Linked DNA regions of Lytechinus pictus. The protein of the gene in region 2 interacts with the protein of the main gene of each other region in a pairwise test. Links are inferred from orthologs where the notes say so. Each region holds a gene or a part of one and is shown on either strand. Other genes may lie near its edges.

What was found.
Region 1: the proteins of elongation factor 1-gamma-like (region 2) and delta(3,5)-Delta(2,4)-dienoyl-CoA isomerase, mitochondrial-like interact in a two-hybrid assay, tested with the Homo sapiens proteins (2 studies listed by BioGRID and IntAct). The link is inferred for Lytechinus pictus from reciprocal best matches to the Homo sapiens genes EEF1G and ECH1.
Region 3: the proteins of elongation factor 1-gamma-like (region 2) and Golgi to ER traffic protein 4 homolog B-like interact in a two-hybrid assay, tested with the Homo sapiens proteins (2 studies listed by BioGRID and IntAct, with this or other methods). The link is inferred for Lytechinus pictus from reciprocal best matches to the Homo sapiens genes EEF1G and GET4.

The regions. Positions count from the first base shown.
Region 1 is NC_087251.1:23,742,984-23,754,012, reverse strand, and holds the start of delta(3,5)-Delta(2,4)-dienoyl-CoA isomerase, mitochondrial-like, read left to right. Parts: upstream 1-6,896; 5' UTR 6,897-7,294; coding exon 7,295-7,346; intron 7,347-10,493; coding exon 10,494-10,656; intron 10,657-11,029. Other genes in the region: adenosine 3'-phospho 5'-phosphosulfate transporter 1-like, read right to left, coding at 435-1,430, 2,484-2,593, 3,922-4,189. UniProt on the Homo sapiens protein: Isomerization of 3-trans,5-cis-dienoyl-CoA to 2-trans,4-trans-dienoyl-CoA.
Region 2 is NC_087251.1:26,858,790-26,870,214, forward strand, and holds the start of elongation factor 1-gamma-like, read right to left. Parts: upstream 4,318-11,425; 5' UTR 3,964-4,317; coding exon 3,952-3,963; intron 3,813-3,951; coding exon 3,654-3,812; intron 1,032-3,653; coding exon 968-1,031; intron 589-967; coding exon 446-588; intron 1-445. Other genes in the region: nuclear valosin-containing protein-like, read left to right, coding at 9,046-9,144, 11,174-11,247. UniProt on the Homo sapiens protein: Probably plays a role in anchoring the complex to other cellular components.
Region 3 is NC_087254.1:10,474,002-10,484,553, reverse strand, and holds the start of Golgi to ER traffic protein 4 homolog B-like, read left to right. Parts: upstream 1-6,419; 5' UTR 6,420-6,587; intron 6,588-10,552. Other genes in the region: sodium/glucose cotransporter 4-like, read right to left, coding at 309-389. UniProt on the Homo sapiens protein: As part of a cytosolic protein quality control complex, the BAG6/BAT3 complex, maintains misfolded and hydrophobic patches-containing proteins in a soluble state and participates in their proper delivery to the endoplasmic reticulum or alternatively can promote their sorting to the proteasome where they undergo degradation.

The DNA of each region.
Region 1 (11,029 bases), about 3.1 Mb from region 2:
AAACCTTGACAGCACGCTGTAAATCTTGAAGAACAAATGTGGAAAACAAGTACAAATAATTTAAACCACCACAAAACAATAATATTTAATATATGTACACAATTCATACTTGATTCACCCGGTATGATTGAAGCTCTTGGATATTCACAAAATGCATTCAGAGGCTAAATTTCTTTTTTCCAATTAATCAAATGGATTAAATGCAATTTCATTTTCTGGAGGATCTAACATTGCAGTTTCCCCCAAAAGCGTGACTCAATAAATAATTTCGGTGTTTGAGGAGAACTAATCTTTGGTACATGCATTTACAGGGTAATATTTCTGAAAATTTCTTTAAAAAGGAGAGCTTTTATCAGATCATGGCACAAGGTGAGCACTTTAGTCACAGCACAGGCTTACAAATGGTGAGTACGACTAGATCTATGACTGCCTAGTCATGTCTTGGTCGGAGCCAGGGATGATTCTTGAGCAGGGGGAGGTTTGGGCTTCTGCCCAGACTTGCGCTGTCTTGCATATACCCTGAGGAAGAGGGCAATGAATACCACTATGACACCCATGATGCCCTGGAAATTGAGAGGATGGCCATAAATGATGCATGAAAGGAGGATAGCCAGGGCCTGACGGGTGGTCATGATGATGGTGAAGATGACCGCACCAAACTGGGAGATGGTGTAGAAGATAAAGAGCTGTCCAGTGGCTGAGAACAGTGAGAGAAGTCCTACATGAAACATGAAGGTATTGTACTTGAGCATGAAGCCAATTCCCTCAAAGAACCCACCCTGTTCTATAAGAGACCAACTGGTGAACAGGCAGGAAAAGAGGTTGACACCAAACATCATCTGAATACTGGACATACTGTATGTCTTATACAGGTCTGCCTGCCAATTTGAGGTGAAGCTATCAAAGGCCATGTAACCAACCAAGATGATGACCCCTGATAATGTTGTCACAGTTGATCCTTTGTGATCCCCTCCCTGGGACAACAAGAACAGTGCCACACCAAGAGAGATCATCACAGCTGTGATGTACTCGTAGTACTCGTATGTTTTCCCAGATATGACCTTCCCCATCAGCATCACAGGAATGATCTTGGAAGCTTTGGCCAGGACTTGGGTGGGAAAGGTGACAAACTTGAGAGCCTCATACTGGCACCAGCTACTCATGATATTGGACAAAGAGCAGTAGGAGTACTTGTAGAGGGGTGCAGTGTGACGAGGTTGAGCAGTGAAGTTCATGAAAACCAGAGCAGCCATGAAAGCGAGAATGCGGTTCATGAACACTAGGAATTGGGAGTTGGTGAACGTTTCTCCTGGATTATGTGCATCTTTGCCATATTCATGTGCCATTATACGTTCTTGAAGGACTCCCCATGTAAGGTATGACCCTTGCAGGCCAGCTACGCAAAACAGCAGCACAAAACTACGGTTCATCTGGAAATGAATAGAGTATTACACATTACTATAGTCAGAATACTAAAATTTTCATTTTCAAAAAGCAATAAAAAGTGTCCGTCCGGCCGTCCATCCATCCAATGATTAATATCATTTACAGTATTCATTTCAAATTCATATTCCTCAAAAGTTAGAGTAGCATTGACAATATTGTGTAGGTTGAGGGGCAAGATATATATTCATATGAAGGGCAATAGTCTTGAAATCTGGTAACCTGGGCTTAAATAAAATTTGATGTACTATTTAGGCCTAGTCCTATTGCCCTTTGGTAAGTTAAATGTCCTCATTACCGGGGGCCAATAGCAATTAGAGTAGCAACTGAATACTTACTTACTAATCAATTGCTAGTCCTAAATACATGCTTCTAATTTATTGGTTGAAAATAAAAATGTTTGATTTTTAAAGTTGTGACTGATTGCAACTCTTTCTGCTCTCTGATCCATCAGAAAGTGTATGGTCATTGGTCCTCTGATCGTTTACCATTAAAGTAGTCTTTTAATAATCTAAAGTACTGGCTTTTAACAGTCGCTTAATATCTGCATCTTAACCATGAAATATTTCTGACAGCACTCCTCTCGATAGCTGTAAATCTATCTCACCTGCATTTTTTTAAAACTAAACCATTAAATTATAGGTCTGGCAGCAATTGCTGGAAATCAATCATTTACCTTACCGGAATCAAATTCCTATCTAAACAGAAAGCGCAAGAAATAAACCAATATCATCAGTAAACTTTATCAGGTCAATATATGAACTCTTTCATGAACCAAACTGTCATGCAACAAATACAAAACAGTTAAGTAGACCAAAATAGTGACATTAGTGCATTATGGTCACATACAAGGAATGTTGAAAATGTAGTCTGAAGAAAAACTTTTGTCTTTCGCTTGCATTTCATGTGGTAGGAAGTTTAGTTTCAAAAGGTACTTCATTCCCTTTTGATGAAAATGGTCAACAATGTTTTTCTGTGAAGTAATAAATATGGATGTAGTTCCTTTTGGAGCTAAACTTTTTATGTACATATAATATTACCTTTGGTTTCTCAGTCACTGTAGCCTTGCTACCTCCTTCCTCTAAGCTTGCTTTGATTTCGTCTGACCCAGTTACACATGATTTGACAGTATTGTACCAACAGCCATGACCTACACAAAATACATATTTCAGAAAATAAGAGGTTTAAAGAGACCTACTGTAACTGATTAGGACATAGACTCAGAAGAAAGAGGAAAATATCCCAAAGAAATACTACTCTCCTAGGAATTCTTCAGCATGAAAAACAATAGCTACCAATTATTGCATTTATGTCAATTCATCATTAACATCATTGTTGCTGGGATGATGATGATGATCATCATCACCACCACCATCATCATCACCATCACAAACACCATTACATTATCAAAGTTCATAATTTGTACTTCGCATACATGGACAAATAAAGTAGAGCTACTGATATCATTATCATTACCTGCAGCCCTTTAGCTCCCTCTCATTTCAGGTTATTCAGGCAGATAAAAATGCAGATAAAAGCGCAGGGTTGAATACCCAAAAAGGGCAATGTCATGACACATGTTACTAGCTCCGGTTACAGATTCAGAGTAGTAAGCCAGCTTTTTGTTTCAAGCTAATTTGCTTTGCATAAGAATATGGTATATCATAAACCAAACTTATTATAACTTTGACATTTTATTTCAAGTATTTCACGTCATATGCTCCAAAATATATTATTACATAAATTACATGTACATGTAAATCATTGCCTAGATGTCAACTTCACAACAAATGACATTATGCGGATAACTGAATCTGATGTGATATTGTTATCAACGTTGAATCTAACATTTTATTCCTCTAACATTTTTCTCCAAAAGCACCTCAAAGAGCTACTACCTGTATTAACTTAATAAACCCAAAGCCAAAACAATTGTCTTTTTACCGTGAAGTCTTCATTTTTCTTAAAGTAGTACCTGTATCTTCTTATCAAATAAATCAACTCGGTACTATATAGAGTTTCATCTAGTTCTAATTATTACATACATGTAGAGCTCTGATAGTGCTGGTACAATATAAGTTAAATGTCTGTTTCTGTGCTGCCCTAACTTCCTTTCCATATGTACTGGTACAACACAGCCAGCTTTACTCCCTGTAAATGAGAAGTTTTCAGACTCCTTACAGTTCTTCTAATATTGTTGGTAAAAATTAAAAAAAAAATCATTCTAAAGGGCATATACATGAGTTTGTAACTAAAGAAATCTTTTAAAAATAAGATTATTTAGATAGCTTTATTCAATCCCAAAATTTTGTTGCCCAAACATGTAGGCTGACTTCTTAAAAATATTTTTGACAAGGAAAAGGTTGTGATTTTGAAAAGGGGGAGGGGGAGAGGGTGCAAAATTACTTTTTTTTCCTAGGAGTAGTGGGCATAAAAAGGCAGAAATGCCTTTGTCTTTTTATATGCCACTACTTGTACCTGAGGGATCCTCACCTCCCTTTTCCAAGTATCCAGAGCTTCTGACATAGCGAATCACCAGCCAAGCAGGAACAATCACTGACAGGTAGCCAAGAACATTTAGCGCCAATCTGATAAACCAATAGTCCATCCAGCCTTCAGTAGAAGCTTCATCTTCTTCTTTTGCATTTGCTATATGAACACTAGCAAGGCATATGAAGAGGCTTATTAAGATGGCAGCACTGACACAACTTGGCCTAGTATTATTGGGTTGTCTGAAAGCAGCCATTTTCACTTGATTTCTATGGACAAAGGAAATACACACAGGAAGTTATTTATTTCAATAAGTTGAGACTTGATATTCATTGAAAATTAAATTCTAAAAATGTTAACATGATCATCATGATGGGGAACTGCAGGATCCTCATTTTATAGAATCTTGTTCATTATAAGGACTTCTCCATTATACAAATAATATAAAAGTTCAATCACCTGTCTAACACTAATTGAGAGAAATAAAAACTAGTTGATCTTCATTTATTGAAATATATGATTTTATGAAAAGTTGTCACTCTATACTATCAATTACTCTCATCATTGGAATTGTTGTTTTTACAATATTAGTTCTTCCCAAAGTAACACACACAACATACTGTAGGACATCTATAGTGTAATTTAGTGTGTATATGTTATGAGTACATTATTATGCCATTTTTATCCAAAATTTTAATTTTTTTCATCAACATAAAAAAATACAGTTTGTACACAAATATTTTGGAATCTATAGAAATTTTCAAAGTATCAAAATAACAGAAATTTTCTCTACTTCCTATTGATAACCAATTTCTAAAAGCTTCTAAAGGTGCTTTTAAAAATTATTTTATAATATGTAATATGATGACATGCTCCCATTTCACAGAAGCGTGCCTAGAGCTAGCCCGATATGAATCAAGCAAGACACGCACATGTTTTTTTCACAGCCTCTACATCGCCGCTACCATGCATTTCTAATGCTCTGGATTCTATTTTGTATGCAGATAACTCCAGCTTGTTCATGTCCCATAAAAATGTTGAAACTTTACAAAATGTTCTTTAATAATGAATTGAAATATACATCAAACTGGCTTACTGTAAATAAATTAACTTTAAATGCTCGAAAATGTTTTTTTTTTATGGTTTTCACAAATAAAAATAGATCATTACTCAAAGTTGATGTTTATTTAAATGAGATGCCAATTAATGAAGTAGCATTTACTACCTTTTAGGTGTTAATGTCAATCTTGATAATAGGTTAACATGGAATGAGCATGCTGGTGTCATCTGCGGCAAAGTTGCCAAAACATCACTGTCATATAAACTGCACGTTACCGAAGATGATTCATCTTTTATTATATAATACACTGATTTTACCTTATTTGAACTTCTGCAATATAGTCTGGGGTAATAAACACATATTAACATATTTCTTTTACAAAAAAGGACAATGAGAATTAATTATTACTCACTCCTCATATCTGTGTCATTCTGGACCATTGTTTAAAATCTTTGAAAATTCTAAATATAATGTATTTGAACAAAATGAATATTGCAGTTTTAATTTTTTCTTATATTATAAAATATCTTGCCGAATTCCCTCAAAAATTATTTTTTATCAAACACATCTGTACATACTCATTCCACTGAAAATGCTTGAAATATTCATATCCCACAGTGCAATACTTCTCTCTTTAAAAATGGCATATATTATCAAGGACCAATTATTGGAATTCAAAATTCTAATTCAATCCCTTCCCATATTCAATTAGATTTAAGCTCTTCGGTATCTGTTTTTAGAAGGAAATAGTCTACAAAACATTTTAATTGTCAAGTTCATAATCTAAATATAACTTAAACTTATTTCTGGCTCTCTAGCTCTCTCTCTCCTTGCATTGTTAACCCCCTAACGGTGGCTGCACGATAGCAAGCCGTCTGTGTACAAGGAGAAATTAAAAAAAAATTAAAAATGTTAAAAAACTCCTCGAAACAGACGGCTGCCAGCTGTCTAGCCTAGTATCACAACAGACACAAGCCAAGCCTTTTCGGCCATTTTTCCTCCTCATTCATGTCATATCCTTTGTTTGATGAACAATTATGGCAAGTTCCCCCAAGTCTGCGCAGTCCCCCTTGTCTGCGCGATTCTAGTAAAAGAAGATACGCAACGAGACTTTAAACATGCAATACATAGACAGGTATTCATTGAAAAATCCGACTCAAAATGGTGGAAAAATAATAAATTCAGGGCATTTCATGTGACGGCCTCAAAATGCAGCCTTTCTCATCAAAATCCCAGAATCGTGTGCAAAGTGAATGAGTGCGCAGACATGGAGTATCATTTTTTTTTCAATCTGAAAATGACTGCCAGAGGTTTTTTCAAGAAAATCCTATATTTTCTTTCATTTTTTAATGAGAAATTTGGTACACTTACTCTCAATAATATAAGCATGATAAGGAACATTATTTTAAGTTTTTATTATTTTAACTGAAAGATTTTGTGAAATAAGAAGAAATTCATGTTAAATCTCAACTCAAATTGTTACTGTTAGGTGCGCAGACTTGGGGCCCACCTTACTGCGGCAGCCCGAACACAGTGTACTGTGAAAGACGTGTCGAGGTCCCCGGGGCAAGGGCACACCATCATATTTATAGTTGTTTATTCACTGTCTATAAAGTATTTTATGTATCTTGTCTGATTTCTTGAGGAAAAATATAAATTAAACTGATTAAGTTGTGGAAGAAGATTAAGCTTGGACGAAAGCTAGACCTGGAAACTTGGCTGCAGCTTTCTGCATTTTTCCAGTACATCCGGTAATAATAATAAGAAACTGAAAGATTGACTGGCGCGACTATAATATAAACTAAAGAGTAAAGCTAAGTTTATAAACGAAAGCTGATATCATGAAACCGCACTAAAGTAAGCTCGTGGGACTGTTGTTCATGTTGACTGTTCAGCTGCCTTCATGCTTCAGCAGTTCAGCCTTCTCTCGATCTCAGTCTCACTCTCAGCTCGGTGGAATTGGAATCTGAAAACGAAATGTTTAACGTTATAACTATGCAAGAAAAAATGAGGCCTACATAAATATTTATACGTATTGGACATTACCAATTTCCAGATTTTACAGTAGATCTAGATCTTACAGTTACAGTTACAGTTAGAGTGATGTTGACTGTGTCGCCTGGCCTTGTCGGTACCGGTAGCTAGCCGAGCATAGCAAGACACGTCGACGTCAGCTAGCTATCGATATGATACACGGATACCGGGCCCGGTACCGGTACCGGAAAATTTTGTGATCGAGCTAGCCACAGCGGTACGCCTTTTTTATACCACGCCCGCGCCCGTGGACGGCACGAGATCATCATGAATTCTCTCACCAAAGTCATCCTGTCAACAGCCAGGAAAGGGAACTTGAGTAAGATTAATTGAAAATTTCAAGGAAAGAAAATGGCATTAATCTGTGAGATTATTTTAAGTGTTAGCATTCGGGTGGGGGGTTCAACATCAATTCAAAATACGAGTGTAAGATCGACCCAACTCATGAACTGGATCTAGCGAGCACGCAGACCGGTGCTCCCCCGGCTTGTACCGGCGGCACATTTCGAGGCTACATGTAGCTGCTCTTACTAGCTAATTTAGTACGGTGTTGAAATCTGGTTTTGGTGTTATGTGTTGTGATAAAGTAATGGTCAGTCGTGATCATTTTTGGTTGTTTGAGAAAATATTTAATGCATGAGTACGAGTGAACATGAATTGCAGTTTTTAGCGCAGCATTAACATGATTAACGCATTTTAACTTATCAATATATGTAATATGGTTCTCAGAATCAGAATGGGGTTCATGGGAGTCACGCAGGAGAATAGGGGGTTAGCATGCATGGTTAGGGGTGAGATAGTGGGTGAAATAGGTTGATTGGACAAGGGTCAACAGAACATTTAGCCACCCCCTCCCCCCTTCCTGTTGAGATTGAGACTGATTGCTATTACATTATTTACATGTTCGCATAATAAGCCATAAAGTCCAGAGCAGACTGTCAATTTAATAATAAATTCTGAAAATTAGGGCATCAACTTTTACCTATCAATCATTTAATCAACAATTTATTAGTAAATCAAATGCCAATGTGATCAAACATTCACCTTTTTTAATAAATTATTTCATAAATCATCATAATCTGTAAATTTCTTAGTAATCATTCAATGAAAAAAAAAAATTACCCATCAACAACAGTCACTTGGCAGTTAAGTTTTGAATACCATCCAGGAAGAGAGAGAGAGAGAGAGGGGATGGAGATGGTGGTACATGACTTGTAATTTGTAAAAGAACACAAAGAAGAGTAATGCCCTTTTTAACCATGTATTACCCTTTCTCATCCCTTTACTTGCAACAGGTACCATCACATTACTCTAACTCTCATAAACACACTGCTGAGGTCCACAAGAGAAAGTTAAAGGAGAATGAAACTCTTGGAGCAAGTTAGCTTTTGTGAAAGCAGAAAAATCAAAGAATAAGATCAACAAAAGTTTGAGTAAAATAGGACTAGCAATAGAAGAGTTATGAGCATTTGAATGTCGAGATCACTAATGCTATGGAGATCCTCTCATTGGCAATGTGACCAAGATCTTTGATGTCACAGATGAACAACTCTCCCCTTTTGGACACTGAAAATATACCCCAAAACATCTCTTTTTGCTCATTCTAATCATATGACAAACGTTTCATCAATGATATAATTTTGTGAAACCTCTGTACTTGTCCTCTCATATAGAGAACACCTCACCTTGTGATAGACTCTATAAAAGTGAGAATATAAGTGAAATACTACTAAAGTAATGAGGGAGTTGTACGTGTGTGACATCACAGATCTTGGTCGCATTGCCAATGGGAGGTTCTACATGGCATTAGTGATCTCAATATTCAAATGCTCATAACTTTCTTATTATTCATTCAATCTTCCTCAAACTTTCAACAATATGTTTCTTTGATTTTTCTCTTTGATATGGATTCAGCTGGTTTCAAGGGTTTCATTCTCCTTTAAAATGGTACACTATAATTACGATTCCTGTTCACTCATGCATTAAATTTCAATTTAGTAACTCATGAAATTTGCTTAAAAAACCAAAACTTATCTCAATTGATCATTAATTTAGCATGACACCCTTAACTTTTCAAGTTCCAAGGACTAACCTAAAAAATTGGAAGGTTAATTCCCACCCAGCCTAGTCAATCTTAGTCTCTCAGGGGGGTTGAAGTGGAGGGGGGGGGGGGGGGGGGGTAAGAGAGGAAGGGAGGGGTGGCTAAATGTTATGGTGACCTGTATCCTATCAACCTACTACACCTTCTTAAGTCCTATCTCACCCTTTTTCTCCTGACTCTCATGGACAAACTGCAGAGATCCACCTGAAAAAGTAAAAATGCTGCACTAAAAAAGTACAATTCAAGTTCAATCATGGAGTCATGCATTAAATTTCAATATAATAGCTCTTGAAATTTTCTCAAACAACAAACTGGTCACGATTGATCATTAATTCATCACAAACCCTCAACTTTGCAAGTTCCAAAGGATCGCCTCTCAAAAACTGAAAGAAATAGGAAGGCTAATTCCTGCCCAGCCTAATTATCATACCCTTTATTTAAAGGACAAGTCCACCCCAACCATTAGTTGATTTGAATAAAAAGAGAAAATTCCAACAAGCATAACACTGAAAATGTCATCAAAATCGGATGTAAAATAAGAAAGTTATGACATTTTAAAGTTTTGCTTAATTTCACAAAACAGTTATGTGTACATCCTGGTCAGTATGCAAATGAGGAGGCTGATGAAGTCATCCACTCACTATTTCTTTTGTATTTCATTACATGAAATACAAACTATTCTAATTTTCTCATTGTCAAGTGAAACAAAGATTAATTCCTCCCTGAACATGTGGAATTAGCATTGTTTTAATACTTATGGTTCAGTCAAGTTGGTCCTTATTGTCAAATCTGTAAAAAAATGAAATATTGTATAATTCAAACAATAAAAACAAAAGAAATAGTGAGTGATGGACATCATTGACTGTCTCATTTACATGTCACTGAGATGTGCATATAACTATATTGTGAAAAATAAGCGAAACTTTAAAATGTCAACTTATTTTACATCCGATTTTGATGAAATTTTTAACGTTTTGCTCGTTGGATTTTTCTCTATTTATTCAAATCATCCTTTTTCTGGGGTAAACTTGACCTTTAAGTGGGAATTGCTCACTCATGCATGAATAGTTTTCAAACTTTTTGGATTTTGGTGTTGTATGAAAATGAAAGTTTACTCTATTTGCTTTCCATATATTTAGAAATTTTGCCCACAAGTGATATATTTTTTGTATGGCAGCCATTTCAAAAGTGTATGGTTTTTTTAGATGCACTGTATATGATTGTATTTGTATAAGAATTCCCTGTTTCTATTTTGGTAATAGAACTCACCTTCATACTTTGTGCTAATAATTTTATGTAGACTTGACTGTATTTTTTGTTATTGAAAACTTCATTTGAAAATTGTTTCCTTTATTATCATTTCAGCCAAGATCGGCCTTAGAAGAACACTCGCTAGAAGCATGTCTTCCGAAGGGCTGTCAAAATATAATTTTGAGTCACTTGCTGTGACTAATCCGCAAGAGTTCATATACAAGGTTGAGGTGAACAGACCAGAAAAACGTAATGCAATGAACAGAGCATTTTGGAGGTAAGCTTTTTAATAAAATCTTAAAGCGTTTTCATAGAGCATCTGCAGAAATTTTAAAAAGATTTTGCTCTGTATGAGGGTGTCAAAGTTCAATATTGTTCCTTAATTTAATTGTCACAGAAGGAAGTGTCTAATATGAATGGAATTTGTCATTTCATGTGCATGTAATATTTGAGAATGGAACAGTATTTTTTTTATTTCAGTCTAGGCTTTAATTAGGAAGCCTTCATTGGTTTGGATATCATCTACATTAATCTTAGTATTAAGGTTATTGATTAAAGATGTTTAGGCTATCTCACACTTAGCTTCATTGGTTTGGATATCGTCTATATTAATCCTAGGATTAGGGTTATTTGTAAAAGATATGTAAGCT
Region 2 (11,425 bases):
CAACAAAGGATCACCAGTCATTCTTAAAGTCACTCTAACGTTGCGAACAGCTTTACAAAATGGCCCCCAGGTATATATTCCATGGCCCGAGACCACTGACCATAACAATCTCAAAATGTTCAAAATACACTGATTTTCATCTATGTTCTCGCCAGCATAAACTTAATCAACACAACTGGGTAATTAATTATTGTAAATTAAAGTACTCTTATATAACCAAAATCAGAACCCAACCATCAAATATTCTTACAATGACAGATAATATACAAATTCTGTGAATTTGCTTATGAATTCTATTATCTACTTAAAGATGAAGTAGAAGTAGGTTTAAAACAAGTTTGGTACTAATGGAAGAAACAAGGATCCACGATTCTTTGTAAAGAGGTGCACAGGATTATCTTTTTCAAATATTCTAATTGCTTTTCAATAAGTCTTTTAGAAATACCTGTTTGTTGTACTGTACTACACCCAATGTTGGGAAAACCCATGTGCTGGCAGCTGGCTCAATCTCGTTATCAGCTAGGTTGACAAACATCTGAACCTGAGCTCTTGACAAATCATCAGTACCCCTCAGCTGCTCATTGCTCACTATATAAAAAGACATTTACAATGTGAAAATCTAATCCGTTTAAATTGCATCATTCAATATTTGATTATGGGCAATTCCATGTTAAAATGAACAAGACATCTCGGAAAATGTCAAATTATACACGTTTAAATTTGCAGTATTTGACAAGTCTTGCTATACAAATTACACAATAAATTAAACAACATTTATACAACAGTTGCAATGTTGTGACCATAACAGCTATAGCTCCTATCTTTTTGAAAACGATGTAAAGGCAATACCCAAGTGAATTGGCAACAAAATCAAACACATGTTTTTTTTAAGGCCAATCTCCTAGGCCCTAAGAATGCCTTTCAATAAGGCTAAGTATATAAACCACAAAAATACTGTATAACCTACCATAGTATGCAATAGCATTACTCTCAAACAATGTTGTTCCACTTCCATTCTCAAAGGCTGGAACCTAAATGAAAAAAAAAAAAATTTAAGTTAAACATTAGTTCTGGTCATGAAAGTAAAATCTGGAGGAAACTGTCAAAAGTGATTGGGAGTGGTCATAAACATAGGGACAGTGATTTTCCATGATCACGGAAAACAGACGGAATTCACGGAATCGACCTTTTGAAACGGAAAGTGGCTTTTCAAACTAAAATCACGGAAAACATATTTTTTCTCAAAATGCACAGAATAGCAACAGAAATTACTCCAAAATCCTCAACGAAATACGAATATCAACTGGTCAAAAAACACGATCTCACTTCGCTACAACAATCATGACAATCCACACATCGTGACTGCACTCGAGCGAGTCGAGCCCCTCCATCACTTAAAATTAGTTTACACTCACGTCCGCATGAAGGCAGAAACATGGCCGTGTGTTGCTGCCCTCTGCGTTCTATCATAATATCATATCGCGGTATTCCTCAAATCCAAAATGGCGGATAGGCGAAAGTCGTTGATTGCTCAAAAAGATGTCCAAAAAGTCCCCAAATCATCGATAAAATCTCATTTAACCACAAAATAATGCTAATAATGTGAAAGGTGAGGATGTATTAATAGCGTTGTTAGTAAAGTGGCAGATACAAAGTTTGACCAACACAAGTATTTTTACATCACTACTCATTGCGTATTGATTTTCTATGTAAACGGAATTGTCACTCTTTCATGTACACAAAGTCTATGGGGAAATAGAATTTCCGTTTTCAGACATGCTGAAACAGAATTCAAGCTTTTCTTAAATTGAAAAAGTAAATTTTAGAAACGGAAAATCACTGCCCCTAGAAACCTGAAAATTTTAAAATTTAATTAATGCAATGATAGGGGGAGGGGGCCATTATGCCCATTAAAGATAAATTTATATTAAATACATTCTGCTTACCACCTTTCAAAAAAATATGCCGGGAAAATAGTGAATTTTTATTACAAATAGATCAGGATCAGCCAGGTTCTTCTTCGATCGCCGTCAGCGCAGCTACAGCTGAGCGTACGGCCGTGCCAGTGGAATGGCTGGCATGTTCGTACGCTCAGCTAGCTGTAGCTGCGCTGACGGCAATCGAAGAAAACCTGGGGCCAATTGCACAAAAAGGTCTTTGCAAGAACCGTCTTTCGTGTCGCCCATTTATCATGATGCAACATGTGAAACGCATTTTAAATAAATTGCCTGCAAACATATTTCATTCATCCGTTAAAGTAAACAAAATCTTTGTTTATAAAATGATGTGATGTATCATGAAATTGTATACAAATTGATTTAAATGCTAGCTAACAAATTTTCTTTGTTTATCATACATTTAAGAAATATCCCGCATACAGCGCATCATAAAAGACGGGCGACACGAAAGACGGTCCTTGAAAAGACCCTTTCGTGTAATCGGCCCTAGCCTGGCCTTGAGGCTCCTAGAGAGTAAAAATCATTTACTAACGCATGCTTACTCTCAACGGAGCCTGGAATTGCTTCCCATAGTTACACGCACCGCCCAAAAACCTGAAACTTTCGCCCCCGAGATTTCTACTTTCCTTCTAAAAAAAGATCTAGCCCTAAATCATGTACATGGGATGGGATACAACTTCATTTCCAACATTACTACGATATTGATTTCATTTTTAAACAAGAATTCATTGAAGAAACAAGAAAAATGTTATGAAAAGACGGGAAGAACTTGCCACCGTGCTTACGTCGCCATCTTGATTTCATTGTCTTGCCAAATTCGCGCATGCGCCCAACAGCCTCGATCGGCCATTTTGTTTTGAATTTTGAAAGGAAAGCTACCGCGACAGAACTTTTCGTTTTTTGAGGTTCCAGTCTGTGCCTCGATGTCAGGAAGCTGCCACTCGTTAGGCCTTCATCCATAAAATCGTGGTAAGTGCTTAATTTCTGTTTTAACTATTTATTCGGATAATTATTTAGACCATACTTCACGCTACTACCGTGGGTATGGTGAATTACACGGTAAGCCCCTGGGCTCCGGCCCGCACAGCGGGCCGGAGCTCCCTGGGTTAGGCTTCGTGTAACCCAGGGAGCTCCCGCCCGCGCAATTCATAACAAAAATGTCCGATCGAGACGGGGGCAGAAGGAGAGAACTTTTCATTTTTTGAGGTTCCAGTCTGTGCCCAGATGTCAGGAAACTGTCACTCGTTAGACCTTCATCCATATACCCTAATGGGCTAATAATACCGTAATCGTGGTAAGTGCATAATTTCTGTTTTCACAATTCATTTGGAGAAATATTTAGACCATAATTATAAATCACCCTAGTCCCGTGAGTATGGTCAAATACACGGTAAGCTCCTGGGCTCCCGCCCGCGCAGCGGGCGGGAGTTTCCTGGGTTAGGCTTCGTGGAGAGTAAGCATACGTTAGTAAATGATTTTTACTCTCTAACGTTAGAAGCCTCCTGGCTAGGCAGGCATGCAAACAAAATGAAAAAATGTTTCACTTTCACTTTCAGATACTGCCGTTACTTTGTATTTTTCAATTTGATTCACCACAGCACTCAAAAACTGTCATCAATGGTGTTGACTCCCAAATTAAAGCAAAGCCCTTCGTGACTGACAGAGAGAGAAGGAAAGAGAGAGAGCGAGGCCTACCTTTCCCAACGGGAATTTCTTCAGGAAGTCGGCTGACTTGTTGGTCTCGCCAAGCTTGAAAGCCGGTGGGTCCTGCACAACGGTCAGCTGTGTGCCGCTGTAACCAGCAGCGATCTGGATCTTGTATGCCCGAGTATTTTCGGGATAGGTGTACAAAGTCTGCAAAACAAGATGATAATGAATAGATCATCACAATATTAAGTATTATATCAACACAAACAAAGGTATTTTAGAGCGTATATTCATAAGATGAAAGAAATATAAGTGGATATAAATCAAGATACACGTGTGGACTTACCCCGGAAGCCATGGCTGCTAGCTGGAAAGACCGTGTTGACGTTGCAAAAAGAGAAGCAGAATAGCTGCGCGAACAACACGCCGGGAGATCCCCCTCCCTCTGTATACGTATGTAGCGGCGTAGTCAGCTGCCGGCCTGCACATGTTCCAGTGACAATAGCTACTTTTTGATTTATGTACGGCCTGAAACCGGAATAAAATTATTACTTCCTGAAGTCATCTGAACGAAACACAATCGAAGAAACATCAGTCCTGTTTAGAATTCTCAGTGAGTTCAATTTTGTATAATTAATTGCAATGTTATGCTCCAAAACTAACGTTGCAAACATCTTCAGTCCCATGCATGCACATTTACGTTTTTGATAATAAAAGCATGCCATAAAAACACACTAACTAGAAAATTAACTTCGAAATTTTAGTCATAGAAACTACATTGGGTCACATTGTTGATAAAAGTTGCAGTGGATAGCTAGAAAAAAGTAGAAGATTTTGAGGTAAATTTTCCATTATGTTTTTTTTATTATATTAATTAGGCCTAGTAGTAGTATTTAGTAGGCCTGGGTCTGAATTAACGGACGGAATACCAGAATCTGATAAAAAAATATCTGTCCAATGACATGTATCAGGTTCTGGTTTTTCTTATTTCTGGTCCTGTATTCCAATGAAACAATGTAGTTTAACATTTTCTTAACCCTTAAAGAACTGGGGGGCCATGATGCCCGGCCCCCCCCCCTTGACGCTTTGCGCGATATTTCCGAAGCGCAAAAAGATAGCGCCACAAAATTTTGTGCCTCTTTTTTGTCACTGAAGTTTTGCGCAACTATTGAGACCAAATTCGTGACATATGATATGGGTATAGCTTCGCGACGTCATCACATGACTTTTTACGAGACAATGTCGTGCCGAAAATGGCCCATTTTTATACTTTTTGTACAAAGACAAAGTCTATTTTGAGATGAAATTCATAAAAGGGTGGATTATTTTTCATTCTAATTGGTCTGCTTAATTAATTTAGGTTTTAATTTAGTTGTTAAATGGACTGTAATAATTCCCATTGAAAAAAAAAATACAAAGAAATACATTGTATATAAGAAATTCTAAAAACAGAGAAAAACATGAGGAAAAAATTGGCTTTTGCAATTTTTCTTTGTGGAAACCTTTAATTAAGTTAGATTTCAAAGATGACATTTGGAAAAAAGGAAGAAAACTTGAAGTGAAATCGGGTGTAAAATATGCAAATAATGTTTTTCATGAATAAATTTGCATATTTGATTCATAATAAATAAAAAATAATTATTTTCAGATTTTTTCCTATACTAGCTTGTAGTTTATGTGATAAAGAATGTGCGTGCCAAATTTCGGCGCAAATGCGTGTACGGCGGCCGAGATCAGAAGGGGGGGGGGACCATCATGGCCCCTCCCCCCAGTCCTCAATACATCTCAAATAGCCCAGTCCTTTTAGGGTTAACATAATGATTGAGCAGAGTATGTTTTATTCAGTCTTACCAATTATAACCAGACCAGTAGAGGCGCTGGTCAGAAAATTAGGATTGTCCCACTCCTAGTTTACACTCGGGGATGTACTGCCTCAGGTTTCAAAGATTTCTTCACACAAGAAATCTAGGAAAGTTCATTCACCTGTCAAGTGCTGACATCAATCAAGTGTGCGAGTAAATGTAAACTTGTTGGGTTTCATAACAAGTTTATTGGAAGACGGCAAGTCGTGAAAAATAGATGGTGAACTGGAGGGAATGGAGGTCACTGAATGTATTTTATCGCTCTCAGTCTCCGTAATTGTCATCTATGTCCCGCAGGGGTAAGTGAAGAAAAAAACTGTCTGCATAAACAAAGACAATCTCAATTTATCAAGACAGGATTTGCATTGGTTTAGGATATCCTTGTTTTCTGGGACAATCCCAATCTTTGGACCAGCGCCTCTACTGATAACTGGTTTCTTTGTTACATTTCAGGTGACCACCGAGAAAAATATGATGAGAAGAAGGGGAAAAAACTTGACGATTACGACTTGACCATCTTGTTCTCTTTGTTAGTAGCTAAGCTACGAGACACATATAGAGTCTGCCGCCCTCTATAATCTATATGCGTCTCGTAGCTTAGCTACTTATAAAGAGAACAAGATGGCCACGTAAACATCAGCAAGTTTTTTCCTCGTCTTCTCTTAATATTTTTCTCGTTTTTTTAAATGAATTTTTGGTTAAAAATGAAATCAATATTATTGTATAATCTGTGACTTATTTGTACTTCCCCATTCGTGAATTCATTTATCGGGATACCGGATTCGGTCCGGTGCAACACCAGTGGATTCCGGAACAAAAAAATTCCAACATGACTCAGGCCCATTATAAGATTGAGAACAACATGAACAAAGAAAGTCAAAAAGTTTAATTCAATAATCTAAAACGTTAAGACACTCGCTTGTGAGAAGAGTCCGCATTTATTGCGAAATGTAAAGATGAGACTAGTATGCCTGAAGGCATATACAATATAAGTAAAAGAGTTTGGCTTACCAATATGGGCTCTAGCCTCAAATTAAGTAACGGTAGTTTCTTCACCTTGAATTTATTTTGCAGCAAATTAGGATTTATCAATTGCAATTTTCAGCTTAATTGCAGAATACCCCACCACTACGAAATTGACCACACACCATATTAGAAGTATATGACAAGTATGCCTCATTCTAAAAGTTTTGGGGTACTGAATTGAATATTTGAATTCGGCCTAGGCCTAACCCTTTTAAAACACAATTTTATCTCTAAATGTATGTACCATCATTATTTATGTTATTTTATATTATAATATGATTGCCTTTATGTATTGTACATATGCTTCATTCCATTGCGGCCACTTAACTTTAATAACGTACACCTAATACTGATCCATTCAAACCTACCAGGCAGCCTTGCTACCAGGATCTACGTATGATAATAAAAATTGTCATTGTTACACTTACACTCATACACTCTCTCTCTCGCCCCCGATCTTTCCGCTCTTCCTCCTCTTGCTCTCTACCTCTCTTTTTTCTCTTTCTCATAGTCTCTTTTCCCTTTTTCCTCCCGTGCTTCTTTCTGGTTAGTCAGAACTCATTGTTATGTTTTTTGGCTGCATGTATTTTAAGTTTTGGCTTATCATAATGGGGATGCATGTCATAATATAATACATGTGTCCCCAACATGATAAACAAAATTTCTATGTGTTTTGCTGTAGAATTTGTGCTTTTTTATTTGATGTTGAATGTATTTTTATGTAAATTTTGTAAAGGGTTCTGCAATTAGGCTTTTCAGCCGCTATAGATACCCTAATTGTTGTAATAAGCCGTTTTAAATTAAAAAAAAAAAATTTGCTCTTGTTCCTAGTTTTTGATCTGATAGCGCAAAATCATCACAAAAAATCTAGATAAAGGTTCCTTAAAGGGGAATTCAGTATATGGTCATAAAATGTTGTGTTGGAGAGGAGAAAAATAAATAGAATAGAATGGTGAAAGTTTGAAAGAAATTGGGACAAGCAATTAGAAAGTTATGGCTGCTATAAAATTGAGATCCCTAAGACTAGATTTCAAATTGGCAACTGGGTAAGTAAATTATGACCAGGGGCAAGGACTACTTTCCCCATAGGCCATGTACTTAATTTTCAGGGATTAATGGTTTTCTCCTAAGTACCCATTCCCATGAGGCGCTAGTCTAAATATAACCCAGGTAATGTATTGTTTTATGTCCTCATGAAAGAAAAATATAATTTAAACTTCAAAGTAAAACTTTTGAAAAAATGACATTTTAGCAATTTTATGCATTGGAGTACAATGGAAGAGTAGTCCTTGCCATACATCACTATGACATCACATATGCGGCCAATTTGGAGTCTCCATGGGTTTAGTGATTACCAATATTTTGATTTTTTGAAATTTCACAACTTTCTTATTGTTTGTCTGATATTGTTCAAACTTTTACCTTTCAACTCGTCTAGTTTTTCATTTTCCTTTAAAACAAGTTTTTATTTGGGTTGTATTCCCCTTTAAAGTGATAACCTCTTAGAGGGATAGTTCACCCTAACAAAAGGTTTATTGTTAAATACAAAGAAAAACATTGATGAAAGATTGAGGAAATCTATTAAAGATTAAGACAGTTCCTAGAAAGAATATAAACTTTTGAATTGTGATGTCATCCGAGCAGCTGCCCCATATGTTATAAAATGTTTCAATTTCAATATTTTTAAGGGTTCATGATAAATAACAAATTTCTTCTCTCAGGAGCGGATGTGAAATATTTTTTCTGTTGATATACTGAAGTTACAAAATAACCCATTTTCAAATTTTGAAAAAATGACATTTTTATTGATTTTTAAATATATGATACATGGGAATCTGCACGCATATGACATCATAATTAAAAAAAAATAGAATTCTAATAAATTTTTAAATCTTTAATGGATTTTCCTCGAACCCTCACCAATATTTTTTAATGATTTTTTCTGCATTTTCTACAATAACTTTTTGTCAGGGTGAACCTTCCCTTTAAAACCTTGGTACTTCTTCTGGAGTCACTACACAAGGCTTGTCCAGTGCTGGCTTTGGGTTGAAAGACATTGTCTGGTCCTCTCTACAGTCGCAGTTAGTGTCTCCATCCTTACTGTTGCCCCATTTCTGTATAAGGACTTTGCACCATCCTGTTCCAGTCCGTAGGGGATTAAGACATTACCAGTTTGGTCATTCCTCACTTGTTACTGAATGCAGAGCATGACTTAAATGTACATATCTAGGCCCTAATGTCATCTGTGTTTATGAATGGTATTAGAACTCAACATGTCCTCAAACTATCAACCATTGTGTGCTAGGGTGGAAAATTAATATTGCTGTTTGAGGGAGAGGACAAAAATGAAATTCTGTGTAAAATAAACAGCCATGAATGCGAATAGATGCTATTTGGGGGTAATTCATTTGAGACTGCTGAGGGCATTCCAGTTGTTTGTGTTTTTGTACCTTTTACAACATTCCATTGCCAGCTTTAACTGTCTTTAAAAGTCTCTTTTTCAACTCTCCTGTAGATCTTCAATTGTACAGTATTTCTACTTGAAGTACAAAATGTCTCCAGGAAAACATTCCAGACAGAGTAATAGTGATCGCAAACAGTGCTCAACCAATTACTACGGAGATCGTTTACTTCTCAAGAGAGTACAGGAGGTAATTTCAGCTGCCATTCATAAAGAAAGTAACCACCCTTTTCGTCTCCAGTTCTGGGCATGCTTTTAAGATATTGGAGGTTTGATTCCTTATTTCATAATTCAATTCATTTATTTTCTCTTTCAATCTTTTTACATTTACAATGATAGTTCAATATACATATTTACAAAATATAACATTTAAATCATTTTTTTACAATACAATAATACCATGAAAACGAAAGGGAAGGAGACCAACTAATAAGCAGAGCTTGTAGGGTGAAGGCCCCCTTTTCTAAGTAAATTTTATGTATAAAAAATAAGATAAAATAAAGAAATAAACAATATATATATATAATGAATAAAAAAAAATAAACAAATAAAAGTAAAATTAAATAAATAATAATAAAAATAAATGATTCAGTATACGGAAATCATAAAACGATTAAACATATATACAAAGAGAAATTAATAAACACATTTACATAATAAGTTCTGAATTACATTACTTTGGGGAAAAAAGATAATCTAATATGACTTCAGAAGATATTTTTTAAGTTTTTCTTTGAAATTTTGTATTGAATTACATTGTATAATATCCTTTGAAAAAGAATTCCATAATTTTTGACCAGTAAAAACAAATGTCTTCTGTGCAAACGATGTTCTATTCAGAGGTTAATGAAAGGAACTCGCCTGGCGAGTGAAGTGCTTATGAATTGTATCATTTTTTACAAACATATCATTAAAAGGTAACGGTAATTGTTTATTGATAAACTTGTACATTTACTGTCCGAGTTGAAAAGAATATAAATCTTTAACCTTCAAGACTTTATTTCTCAAAAACAGAATATTTGTATGTGCCCTGAATTCTGCATGACTAATAATACGAATCACTCTTTTTTGTAGAATAAAAAGTCTATTAATTTGAGAATTCGCTGCATTACCCCATGCAACAACTCCGTAATTCAAGTAAGGTAAAATTAACGTTGAATACAATGATAACAAAATATAATGGGGTAAGAAGTAACTTAATTTTCTAATGACACCAATGTTGCGAGCAATGATTTTACAAATATTATCAATATGTGCTTTCCAAGAAAGTTTTTCGTCAATGATCAGTCCCAAAAATTTAGTAGATCGCACTCTTTGAATGACAGTATCATTTAAAATTACATCTTTTGGTACAGTCGTAATCTTGTTGCTAAATAGCATGTAGCTAGTTTTTTCTAGGTTAAGAGAGAGTTTGTAAGCTGTTATCCAATTAGAAACATTTTTTAGTTCGTCATTGAATATTTGCGTCAATTGCTCTGGGTCGGGGTGCGACAGAAATATATTAGAGTCATCAGCGAAAAGTATAAATTGAAGCAATCTAGATGACATATCAATATCATTTATATAAGTAATGAACAAAAGTGGGCCAAGAATATTTAAAATGATGTAATAACTCCCATTTCGGAAATGTTATGACGCGAAATATGACTTCTTGATGTATTGTGAAAAACATAAACTTTGCTTAAGGATGAATTTTCAATTGAAAGTGATAAGGTGATCTTCACCTTTCTCCCAATACGGTGTTTAAGATACTGAGCAAGAAACCACAAAATGCACCAAGAATCAGTAAAAGTAAAACAATTCATCTATACCTCACACACTTTATGTAAAACGACTATCCACATTGATTTTGGCATTTGTGTTATTAGCTGTAATAAGAATTTTATAATTATTAGAACTATAATACAAGCAACTTGGTACTGATTGCACTATTCCACCCCCCCTCTCTCTTTACTCTCTAACACCCCTTTAAAAATGCTCTTGTCAGTTCTTTTATTTTTTTTATTTATATCAAGTTTCAGAGAGATGTGCAGACACTATGATAAGGGGTTACTCAAATCTTTACAACCTCTTTCTAAATCTCTGCAATTTTTCTGCCCCAGGATTAATTTGCATTATAACCCCTGTCTAAATAAAGGAAAATATTTTTTTATATATATTGCATAGGTGAGGGAATATGGAATATATGTTTTTTTTTCTCTACACTATTCCTTTTGCAGTATGTTGACTCCGAATCAAAGAATGGCTATGTGGATGTAGACGCCATGGTGGAAGATCTTCAGCATATTTACAAGTAAGAAGCTTTCTAATTTGTAAACTGATTAATTTTTCGAAATCTTATCATCAAGTAAATTATTTCCTAGATATAGTGGGTGGCAATGAAGTTGTTTTGATGTGCTTTTTTTTTTTTTCTTGGCTTTTACAGAGGCATATTTATGAAAAACAGTGCCCAAGGCAAGGTATGAATCTAG
Region 3 (10,552 bases), on a different chromosome or scaffold from region 2:
GTTATACTCAGGCCTTCCCGGCCCTGCCCCCCCCCCCCCCACCCCCAGAAAAAAAACCATCATACTGAGTAAAAAATGCTTTCCAAATCACAACTTCCCATACATTTATAGATGTACATGCATGATGTATACATGAATATAGGCATAGTCGCCTCTATAGCCCGGTCCGGTCCTACCTAGGCTAGGCATATTATAACATATGGTATATAACCTTTGATATCACCGATTGTTTGAAATATTTTTTGGTTCGTAAAACAAACTTTTTTACCATTACAAACTTTCGACTCTCGTCGAATAATTATACTCACCGCTATACCAATGGTTAAAATTGCGAAGAAATAAAGGACGAGGACTACGACGTCCCATGGTAAAAGTCCTGATTGCTCCATGGTAGTTATTTCGTAAAATAAATATTGGCCTGCATGCTCACTCTCACTAAACTGACTGCTGGCAGCTGGCCCGATTCAGGCGCGGGCGCAGTGCTGACTGCGACCGACATCATGTGCACAAATCTTTACTCCCAAAACGATACTTTTTCGTCCTTGAGCTCGCCGATCGTCTGTTCGTCTGCTACGAGGGGGTGTGGCTGTGGCGTAGCGGTACGTGCCCGGGGGTACGTGCATGGTGGTGGTATAGTGGTGGAGTGACTTGGCATGGTGGATGCGGGGGGGGGGGGGAGGAGGGGAGTATTCCAGACATGGCTGTCGATCGGTGTTCATGGCACTTCATGGTGCGGGGGGGGGGGAGGGGGCCGGGATGACTGACAAGTACCAGTGGCGTACTTGGCATATTACGTCAGGGGGGGGGGGGGGGCAAGCGACAAGTAAGGATGAGCACGGTGGGGGGGGGGTAGTAGGCATGGACGTATAGGCACAATTATTTCAAGGGGGGCTAAATCATTGCCCGAATATCAACTTTATAGTTTTTAATTTTCGAGCGAACAATTTTTCAATTATTATTTAGCCTTTTTACATGATGTGAAAGTGCAGAAATTATACATTCGGTCATAAAATTACCAATACACGAGGATATTTGGACGCATCACAGTCCTTGTTGCCCTGCATTTTACAGCCCACCCCCCCCCCCCCCACCCATACACGTTTGGATGTGTAGGTCAATTTTCAATTTCAATTTATTTTATTTCATTTTCAACAGAACAAAGTAATGTGTCGAAATAATTACAATGAACTTATACAGACAAAATAAATTGAGGCATGTACAAATAAATTATATTTATCTATAAGTAAAAGTAAAACAAAACAGAGTATTACATATAAGCAAAATATCATAAACAGTATAAAATAAAATTCTGAAAAAATGGAGGAATCTACTAAAAAGCAGTGCTTGTATTGTATGGACCCCTCTAAATAATTATTTTAGATTAATAAAGTGCAGCACTGAAGGTGGGAAATGTTACCCAGGTGTGCCTAATAAAACAATTGGGATCTTGCTACTACTGATATTTGCTATCGGGCGATCGCACTTTATTGTCCAAATGAATTCTTTTTTGGTATATCATTCCAGAAATGAAATGTATTGGATCGTGATCGATATATTTTTATCCGGGATTTCTATTCAAGTGGTAATTGCAATGTTTATATTAAAATACTTCTTTTATTCCTCTTTGAAGGTGTTACATTATGTTCCCAATTCTGCTCATTTGGAGACGTTATAAAAGAGGTATTTGACATTGAAATCAGTTATAGTCATGTATTGATTTGCCTTTGTTTTATTTCCATTTACACAGTAAAAACAAAAATAAATGCATCCATTCACTCATAAAAAATAAATATGAACATGAAAATATATGCGACAGTAACATGATATATCACTAGATATGGGGAAAATCACTCACTCACTGGCAGGAATGTCAGAAGGTTGAGGAAATTGAAATTGGAAAAAGATAGGCGGATGAATTAGGGATCGGGTACATAGGATAGAAAGGGGGTGGTAATAACCAGAGGAATGTGTAAGCCCCTGCTTACACATTCCTCTGGTTATATGGATATAATTCCTGAAACTTAGACATAGCTAGGCCTTTTCCAGTGGGGGGGGGGGATGTGGAGGACCTTGATTACCGACAGATATCAGCAACGATTACTGACGACCGACGACCAAAACTCATTTATATCCAACCAAGGATTTTCAAGTGGGACATTTTTGTTTACAAAAATTTTCACAAGCCCCACCCCCAAAAAAGTCTTTACTTTCACTGACACGTGCCTAACAATTTACACTAAAATAATATTAAAATAATAATTGCGAGCGCGAAGCGCGAGCTGATTTTTTTTTTGAAAATCTAAACCTAAAACGATAAATTTTGTGCACTTAATTATAAATAGGATGGGTATCTTCCTTAATAAATTATGCGAGCGCAAAGCTCGAGCTAAAAATTTTGATATTTCTAACAGGACCCTATATAGACATTCTAAGCAGTTTTACAGGATGGATATCTAAACGGTCGTGCGGGCGCGAAGCGCGAGCTGAAAATTTGAGATATTCCCCCCTGAAAACTTGACATTCTAAGCACCTTTTTTTTCTAACTATGAACAACATGGTAGTTAAAAACAATTAATTGGTGTGAGCGCGAAGCGCGAGCTGAAAATTTTTGATATTTCGGACTGAAAACTTTACATCCCTTCATTTAATTATGAACAAGATGGAATTTTATGCGAGTGCGAAGCTCGAGCTGAAATTTTTGATATTCTAAGCAATATCTGTAACCGTGAACAAATTGGTTTCTATGATATATTGTTGATATTTTTTTATATTTTGACCTGAAAACCGGACATTCTAAGCACTTAATTTAACTATGAAGAGGATGGTTATACCTAAACAGTTACATGAGAGCACGAAGCGCGAGCTGAAATATTTAAAATTCCGGCCTAAGAACTGGATATTATAAGCACTTTTTGTAACTGTGAACAAATTGCTTTCTAACTAATCAATTGACGCGAGCACGAAGTGCGAGCTGAAAATGTTTGATATTTCAACCTGAAAACTAGACATTTATCTAAGGTATCCAACTAAAAAATTGATACGAGCGCGTAGCGCGAGCGAATTTTTTATTGTTATAATTATATTACCTAAAAGTTGTTATCTACATTTTTCCTGTCCCTGGTCAGCCCAGTCCGTCCTCACTATCGGTACAGAGAGCTCTAAAAGTCGCATTGCGTAAAAATCACAATTTACCGATAAAAGTGTACAGTTTAATTGACATTTACCGACAAAGATGGTGGAAGTAAAAAACCGAATCAGTTGGAACAGCCCCGTGTGCCCGACAATTATCATTTTTTCCGACAGTCTGCAGTCGAGTTTTTGTTTTCCCTTTCTCTTAAACTCTTTCTTCTTTTGCCCCTTCCCCTTTTTTTCTTTCTCTCCTTTTTCCTTCTTTTCTTTCCCTTTTTTCGCTTCCTTTTTTTTGCTTGTGACTCGTCAGGGGGGGGGGGGCAGTCTACCCCCTCTGCCCCCCCTTAGGTACGCTAGTGACTAGTACTACTAGTATTGTTCGATCTCTGTGAATGATTTTTTTTTTTTCTTTTTTTTTCGGGGTGGGGGTACGTGGGCCAGACATAATGGCGTTCAAGAGCAAAATTAATTTTTTTTCAAATCAGTGAGTGAGCAAAGCAAGTGAGCATAAATTTAGATTCTTTGAATAAAAAGTATGATTTTGTGTTATAGATTATGACATGATTAAAATCATATTTTACACTCCCCCGATTTTTAATTTTTTTTCTCCGGCCGTGAAACTTTTTTTGAGGTTTAGCTAGCTAGGGTCCCGGCCCGAGGCGCCGATCCTGGGGGGGGGGGGCACTAATGAAAATATTGGGGTGACAAGCTAGCATATCGTTTTGCCCTAATAATTCCGTAAGTGCAAAAATAAAATTAAATTGTAATGTTAACACAGAAATCAGCAACATTAACCGAGCACAATATAAAATTTAGATTTATTACATCTATAGATCTAGTACAGTACAAAATCATGAGTCTGCGCGGGAAATGATTCCATCTATCATTGCAAGTTTTGTTAAGGTATAAGCCCTACATTTACGCAGGAATCTCATCATATAGGCCTAGAATACTTTTCTGCACTAGCGTACCTACGGGGGGGGCAGAGGGGGCAGACTGCCCCCTGACGAGTCACAACCCATGCAAGGGACATATCCCTGCCTCCCCTGACGAGTCTTGAAGACCTTTTTTTTTTTTTGCTTGTCAAATTTTTTTCTGGTACGAAATCCTTTATTTGTGGTTGAAGACCCTTTTTTTTTTTTTTTTTTTTATTTGCCCCCCCCCTGTGGAAAAAAAATAATGGCAAGCCCCTCTTTTCATAGGTTCATATGTAGATCAAGGTGAGTTATGTATCTCTCTAAATTAATTCTAACAAACTACTTTTAAAAAAACTTTACCTTGACAGTTGATAAAAAATTTCGGCTCGAGATTTGCGCTCGCATCAATAAAGTCCTTAAAATTTCCAGTTTTCAGGCCTTAATATCAACAAATTTCACGCTCTCATTAGGCTTATAAAAAATGATTGGATTAGATCAAAATAACACTAATCATATCAGCTCGCGCCTCGTGCTCATACCATTAATTCATTGGGATCCATTTCCACTTCACAATTTCCCTACATCACACGTGCTTGAAATATTGCATAAATTGACCCTTCTTCAGATCCAGATCAGAATAATTATAATTTTTTTCAGCTAGCGCTTCGCGCTCGCATTAATGACTTTCATGATAAAAGAAATGTATTTAGAATGCCCAGAATCCAGGTATTAATGTAGGAAGATACCAAATTACCCACCCTTTTCATGATTTCCAAAACATTATTGGAGTGTCCCATGTTTAGGTCTAACTGTCAATTTCCCCCCGCTAAGTTGCGCTTCGTGATTGCATCAATTATTTAGTTATATAGCTATCTTGTTCATGATTTTTAAAAAAATGCCAAGAATTTCCAGTTTTTAGGTCGGAATGACAAAAATTTTCTGCTCGCGCTCGCATTATTTGATTGTTGAATCATGTTTTATCTTCATGGGTCCAGAAACGTGTGTGTGTGTGTGTGAGTTTTATTGTTTTGTGCGATCAAGCGCCTTTATTAATTTTGTAATGTTGATTTATGACTCATGATTTTGCCCCCCGCCATCTGAAAAATGGATTGAGGCCCCTGCCCCCGGCCAAGCCTCTACGCAAGTGGGAAGCCCGGGTGGGAAGGGGGTGTATAGCAGTTGAGACCAAATAGTGTATAATGTTTATTTCTACTTTATTTCTGTTTATTTCTACAACAAGTCTATAGGTACTGCATAAGGACTAGGTGAATAATTAATGTGAGCTCGAAGCGCGACCTGATTTTTTTTTAATTGACGTAATTATAATTTGCCATTTTGGGGATTCTTATCAGTTTTAATTGTTATTTCCCTTGTCTACCCTCTTAGATAGATTCATTAGCGACCATCCGATTTCCTATATTGTATTACTGAACATTTTTTTACTAAGTGCCCATTCTTAGCTCCTTATTTTTATGATTAAAGCCAACTTCTGCAGTATGTCCCTTTAAGTCCCATATATGCCCCTATCTACATTGATAAATAATAATACTTATTAATTATATGGCGCTTTTCCCATAAGGCCAAAATGGCCAAAATTGCTTACAATGGAAATACTTGAAATAAACCATGAAGCTATTATAGCGCCGTGAATAAATTATATAATGCTAAAAAAAACTATATATGAAACTACAAACTACGAGAGAGAAACGCCCCTAATTTTCTTTTCTTGTTTGTTACAGGGCAATTCAATTAAGCACACGTATACTATTTTTTAATTCTACATGGGCAGTATACGTGGAACCGGGGGTCAGGGGGCATGGGCACTTGCCCCTAAAAATCCCATATGCAGGGATTTTTTTTAAAAGTGAATGTGCCTATTGCGAAATAAATCTTTTTAAATCATTTTCGTTCCTGAAGTTGTTATGAAATACCGGTATTTCCTTCTTTTTACATCGTGTACATTGGGCCTATTAAGTGTCCGTTTAGTGTCCGCCCTATACTCCCAAACGAAATACGTTCCGCTCTGCCCATATCCCACATGCTCCTACATTACAACAAAATAATATGCTGACTCATTTAGAGTGGGGCATGATTTTTTTTTTTTTTAAGATAGTGCCCCGATAGTACCCGTTTCAAAAGGGGAAGTGTCCCGAAGTGTCCCCATTTCCCCCAAAGTCCTCCCAGCCCTCCCACTTTCAACATCGCCTTTCCGCCCCAGGCCCAGTATGGTGAGCGTTTCAGGAGCAAGCCTTGGGAAATTCCCTAAAACCGTAAACTGAATAACCAGTCGTAAATATGCGTAGATCTATATACTGCATCATGTAAATACTGAGTCGATATTTCTTCAGCTAAATATACGGCCTGTCATCAAGTCTATATGGCTTACGCGTTACGCCTATGGTCTAATACGTGGTGCATTTTTGGAAGGGTCTCGAAATTCCACCGGATGTCTTCTTCGATTATTTCAAGAATTTTTAAAGACTGTGAGAGAACATTTCATATTTTTACCTGGTCCCGCGGAGTCAACAACGTGTTGTAAATGTGAGTTCAGTCTGGTTTTGCTCAAACTCAGCTTAGGATCTTCAAACTAAAGTAAAAAATACAATCGTGTTCGTCATGTTCGTGTGCAATTTTTTGTGCACACAATTAAGCTGGGAATATCACAATACCGTGATACAAGTATTCAGATAGCACACGAGCAAAATGACCACTGACTAACGTGCTGTATTTTATTCGGGTTGGGAACTTAGTTCCTGTGCAATGCAATTCAAACCATCATATCAAAGAGGGGGGGTTTGAGCCTGCACCGCCATGACCGCACGCTGCCTGCGGTGTGCCTGAGGCGCTGAGCTACGCTGCGCTGCAGCAATAAAATTATTTTTTAAAAACAATTTAAAAAACGTGGATGTGGAAGTGCCTGGCCTGGAACTGGTTGCATGAGTCCACCACATATCGACCACCTCTTTTGAAACCAACCACCCTGCACACATTAAGATTATTACAAACAACACGCTTGGGATGGTAGGCGAATATTGATTTCATAAATAAATATTAAAAATGTTTAAATAGTCTAAAAACTGACATACTTCAGTCTACTGAAGCTTTTTGACATGCACTCATGGGCCTGGGAGTAAAATCGCATGAATGACCAGAACGCTAGAGCAAAACAATATATAACTTTAATATAAGAAAACCGAAAGAGCAATGGACGCTAAAAAAAAGCCTTAACAACTTGTTCATTGAATGAGTGAGCTGTGTCTGTGACTTGGCTGTCATTAGCTCGTCGTTCAGCGTCCACTGTCTCTTCGGAAGTTCGGTTCTATTATCAAACTACAATGAATGATACTATAAAATACCAACAGAATTATTATATTGTTTCATCTAGTTTTTTATGAAATTTGCTCAAATAATGGTGAAAGTATTCAAAATTGTTAAAGGGGAATGAAACCCTTGGAATAAGTGGGCTTGTGTGGAAAGAGAAAAATCAAAGAAAGTTTGAGAAAAATCGGACAAATAATAAGAAAGTTATGAGCATTTGAATATTGCGATCACTAATGCTACGGAGATCCTCCTATTGGCAATGCGACAGATATGTGTGATGTCACATGTGAAAAACTTTCCCTTTGATGGACTATAAAAATACCCCAAAAATGTATCTTTTTGCTCTTATGGTGATACAAACCCTTCATCCATAATATATTCTTTGAAAATCTGTATTACAAGCCCCATAGAAAGAATTAATGATCTACTGATAGATGTCATAAAATAGGCATTTTAAGTGAAATATATACAAAAGCAGTGGGAAAGTTGTTCACATGTGATATCACACATCTTTGTCGCATTGCCAATGGGAGGATATACATTACAATAATGATCTAAACTTCAAATGCTCATAACTTTCTTATTATTCATTCAATTATTCTCAAACGTTTGTTGATCTGTTTCTTTGATTTTTCTGTTTTCACACAAGCTATCTTGTTCCAAAGGTTTCATTTTCCTTGAAGATTATGATATGTGCTTAGTTTCACTCCAGCTGACGAAGTAGCAAAGTACAAGAACACAAACCTTTTTTTGTCTTGATTCTGTTGATTTCAATTTCGGTCTCATAATCTCATTCTTAACACCAGAAGCCAGCATATGCTGACCTGTCAGGATTTTCCTGCTTCTTAACTTTCGAAATGTTAAAAAAATCATATATGAAAACAAGAATGTCAGAAAAATCTCCTTGGACCATTCATGCCTCCAAGTCCTCAATATACTGTATCTTAACTCTTCATGCATTCCGTTTGCATTATTGCACGTCTGTAGGCGTGTTATATATTTCGCATTTCTGCACAACCGCGCATTCCCCTAATGATGCCTCTATGTCCAGGTAAATTGTAGTTTTCAGAGTTTTGTTCTGTTTTATATACATTTGCTTTCAAAACCACTTAGTGGGAGATTAATCAGATTATCTACCTTCTTTACATGTTAAATAAATCAATATATCCTTCAGCTGACCCAGGAAGTTCATTGAAAAAAGGAGAGAAAAGAATCAATTATATCCTCCTCACAAACAATACCAAGGTCAGGTTCATTGTTATTAGGAGTTAGGACTAGATCATGACACCTGTATGAAAGAGGTGCTTTTTTTTCTTTGACTAGTCGAAGATCTACTCTCTTTTATTTATTCACAGTAGTATGGTCTACTTTTGTCAGATTACCAATGATATTAGAATCATGTCTGTGATAGACTGCCCAGGTGAATACAAAAATAGAATCACGCCACTGACCCAAGAACCAAAATAAAGGGCTACACTTTTGTTGAAAATGTAAGAAGAAAATGTTTTTAAAAAATTATTTGCAATGCTTTATTTCTTTCGTAATGCAATAAATTCATACATGACAAGAAAACCCACCAAACACTACAAGTTTGCCTCACAACATTTCCTTTCTAAATGTTCAGATAAAAGTTATAGCTGTTTAACTAACAGAGTATTATACCAGGTAGAACGGTTCACTGCTAAAATAATGCAACATATAGAGGGTTTACAGGTCAATGCACGATGAGTTTAATAGCTCCGTAGTTTAAGGGTTGAAGTTATTAAAATACAGTGCGTATAAAAAAAAACGGGACAGTTTTGAAAAGTCTATAAAAATTTTGTTTAAAATCATATCTATATTTTGATGTTAATAGATGCTCTGATATCTTATCTTTGAAATGCAATTAAAAAAAATATATTTTGTTTATGCTTGAGCGAACATGGGACGTTTTTGTCGGGGGTTCAAAAAAGAGGCTTGCGCCAAAATCGCAGGAATGAGAAATTTGATGATTAGACTTTTGGCCAATAAGCAGACCTCCTCTTAATCTTTTCATTATCTTTGCCATAATTTTCAAATTATGCTGTCAAATTTCATTTACAAATTTCTTTATTTACCTTAATTTTTTTTTCATTCAAACTTCTTTTACCTTTGAATTTTTCTTAATAAGTAAGAAAAGAAGACTTTTTGTCAACCCAAGTAAGAAGATTTGCATTATTAATTGGGAGAATTCGCAATTATTCAAATCCTTTTATTATATGAAACAAATTATGTTATGGTACCTGTAAAAGACACGAATCCTATTTTCAAGGGGTCATTGAATCCTTCACCAAGTTTAATTATGTGCTTGGCAGGACAAACAGGAAAGGATTCATGTCTTTCAATGGCAATGGTGTAGCCTATTGAGTCGATTTTGAAGGAGCAAGATATGGCAGATCGGGTAAAATGTATTAAAAAGTTGTGAAGTGAGCAAGCAAAAAAATTTCATTATTTTATTAAAATATCAAATTTTGTGATTTTGATATGATATTCTGAAAATGATAAAATTTTTCACTTTTTATGTTTTCTGTTATTTTCCTGTCCAATTTTTTTGTAAGTCAGGATTTTTTTTTTTTTTTTTTTTTTTTTGGGGGGGGGGGGGGGTGGGCACCCCGATCCCCCACCCAACAGTATGCCATTGTTCAAAGGCACCATAACCTTTGTAGCACACAATGAAAGGATTTGAAAGAAAAAATACATGTACACGCTCTCCCATACTTCGGTTTAAAAAAATTGTTCTTGCCTAAAGAAGGAATATTCAAAGCTGAAAGAGAACATACTAAAAAGGAAGAACAACAGAACTATTCAAGCAAACAAGAGGATTTGGAAACAAGTTTTGACTGCATAATTCGAAAATTATGGCAAAGATAATGAAAAGGTTGAGAGGAAGTCTGCTGATTAGCAAGAAGTCCAACCATCATATTTATCATTTTATGCCTTTTTGGCACAAGCCTCCTTTTAAACCCCAGACAAAAACATTCCGATAAGACCTTAGAGCACCTATTGACACCAAAATATAGAGATCATAATTTGAAACAAAAATTTTATAGACTTTTCAAAACCTGTCCCGTTTTTTTTATACGCACTGTACAGGACATTCAGGGGGAATTGCCTTCTTGAGCCCAGCATGGGGCTCTACTCATTGACTGCAGGGGCTTAGTGGGCCC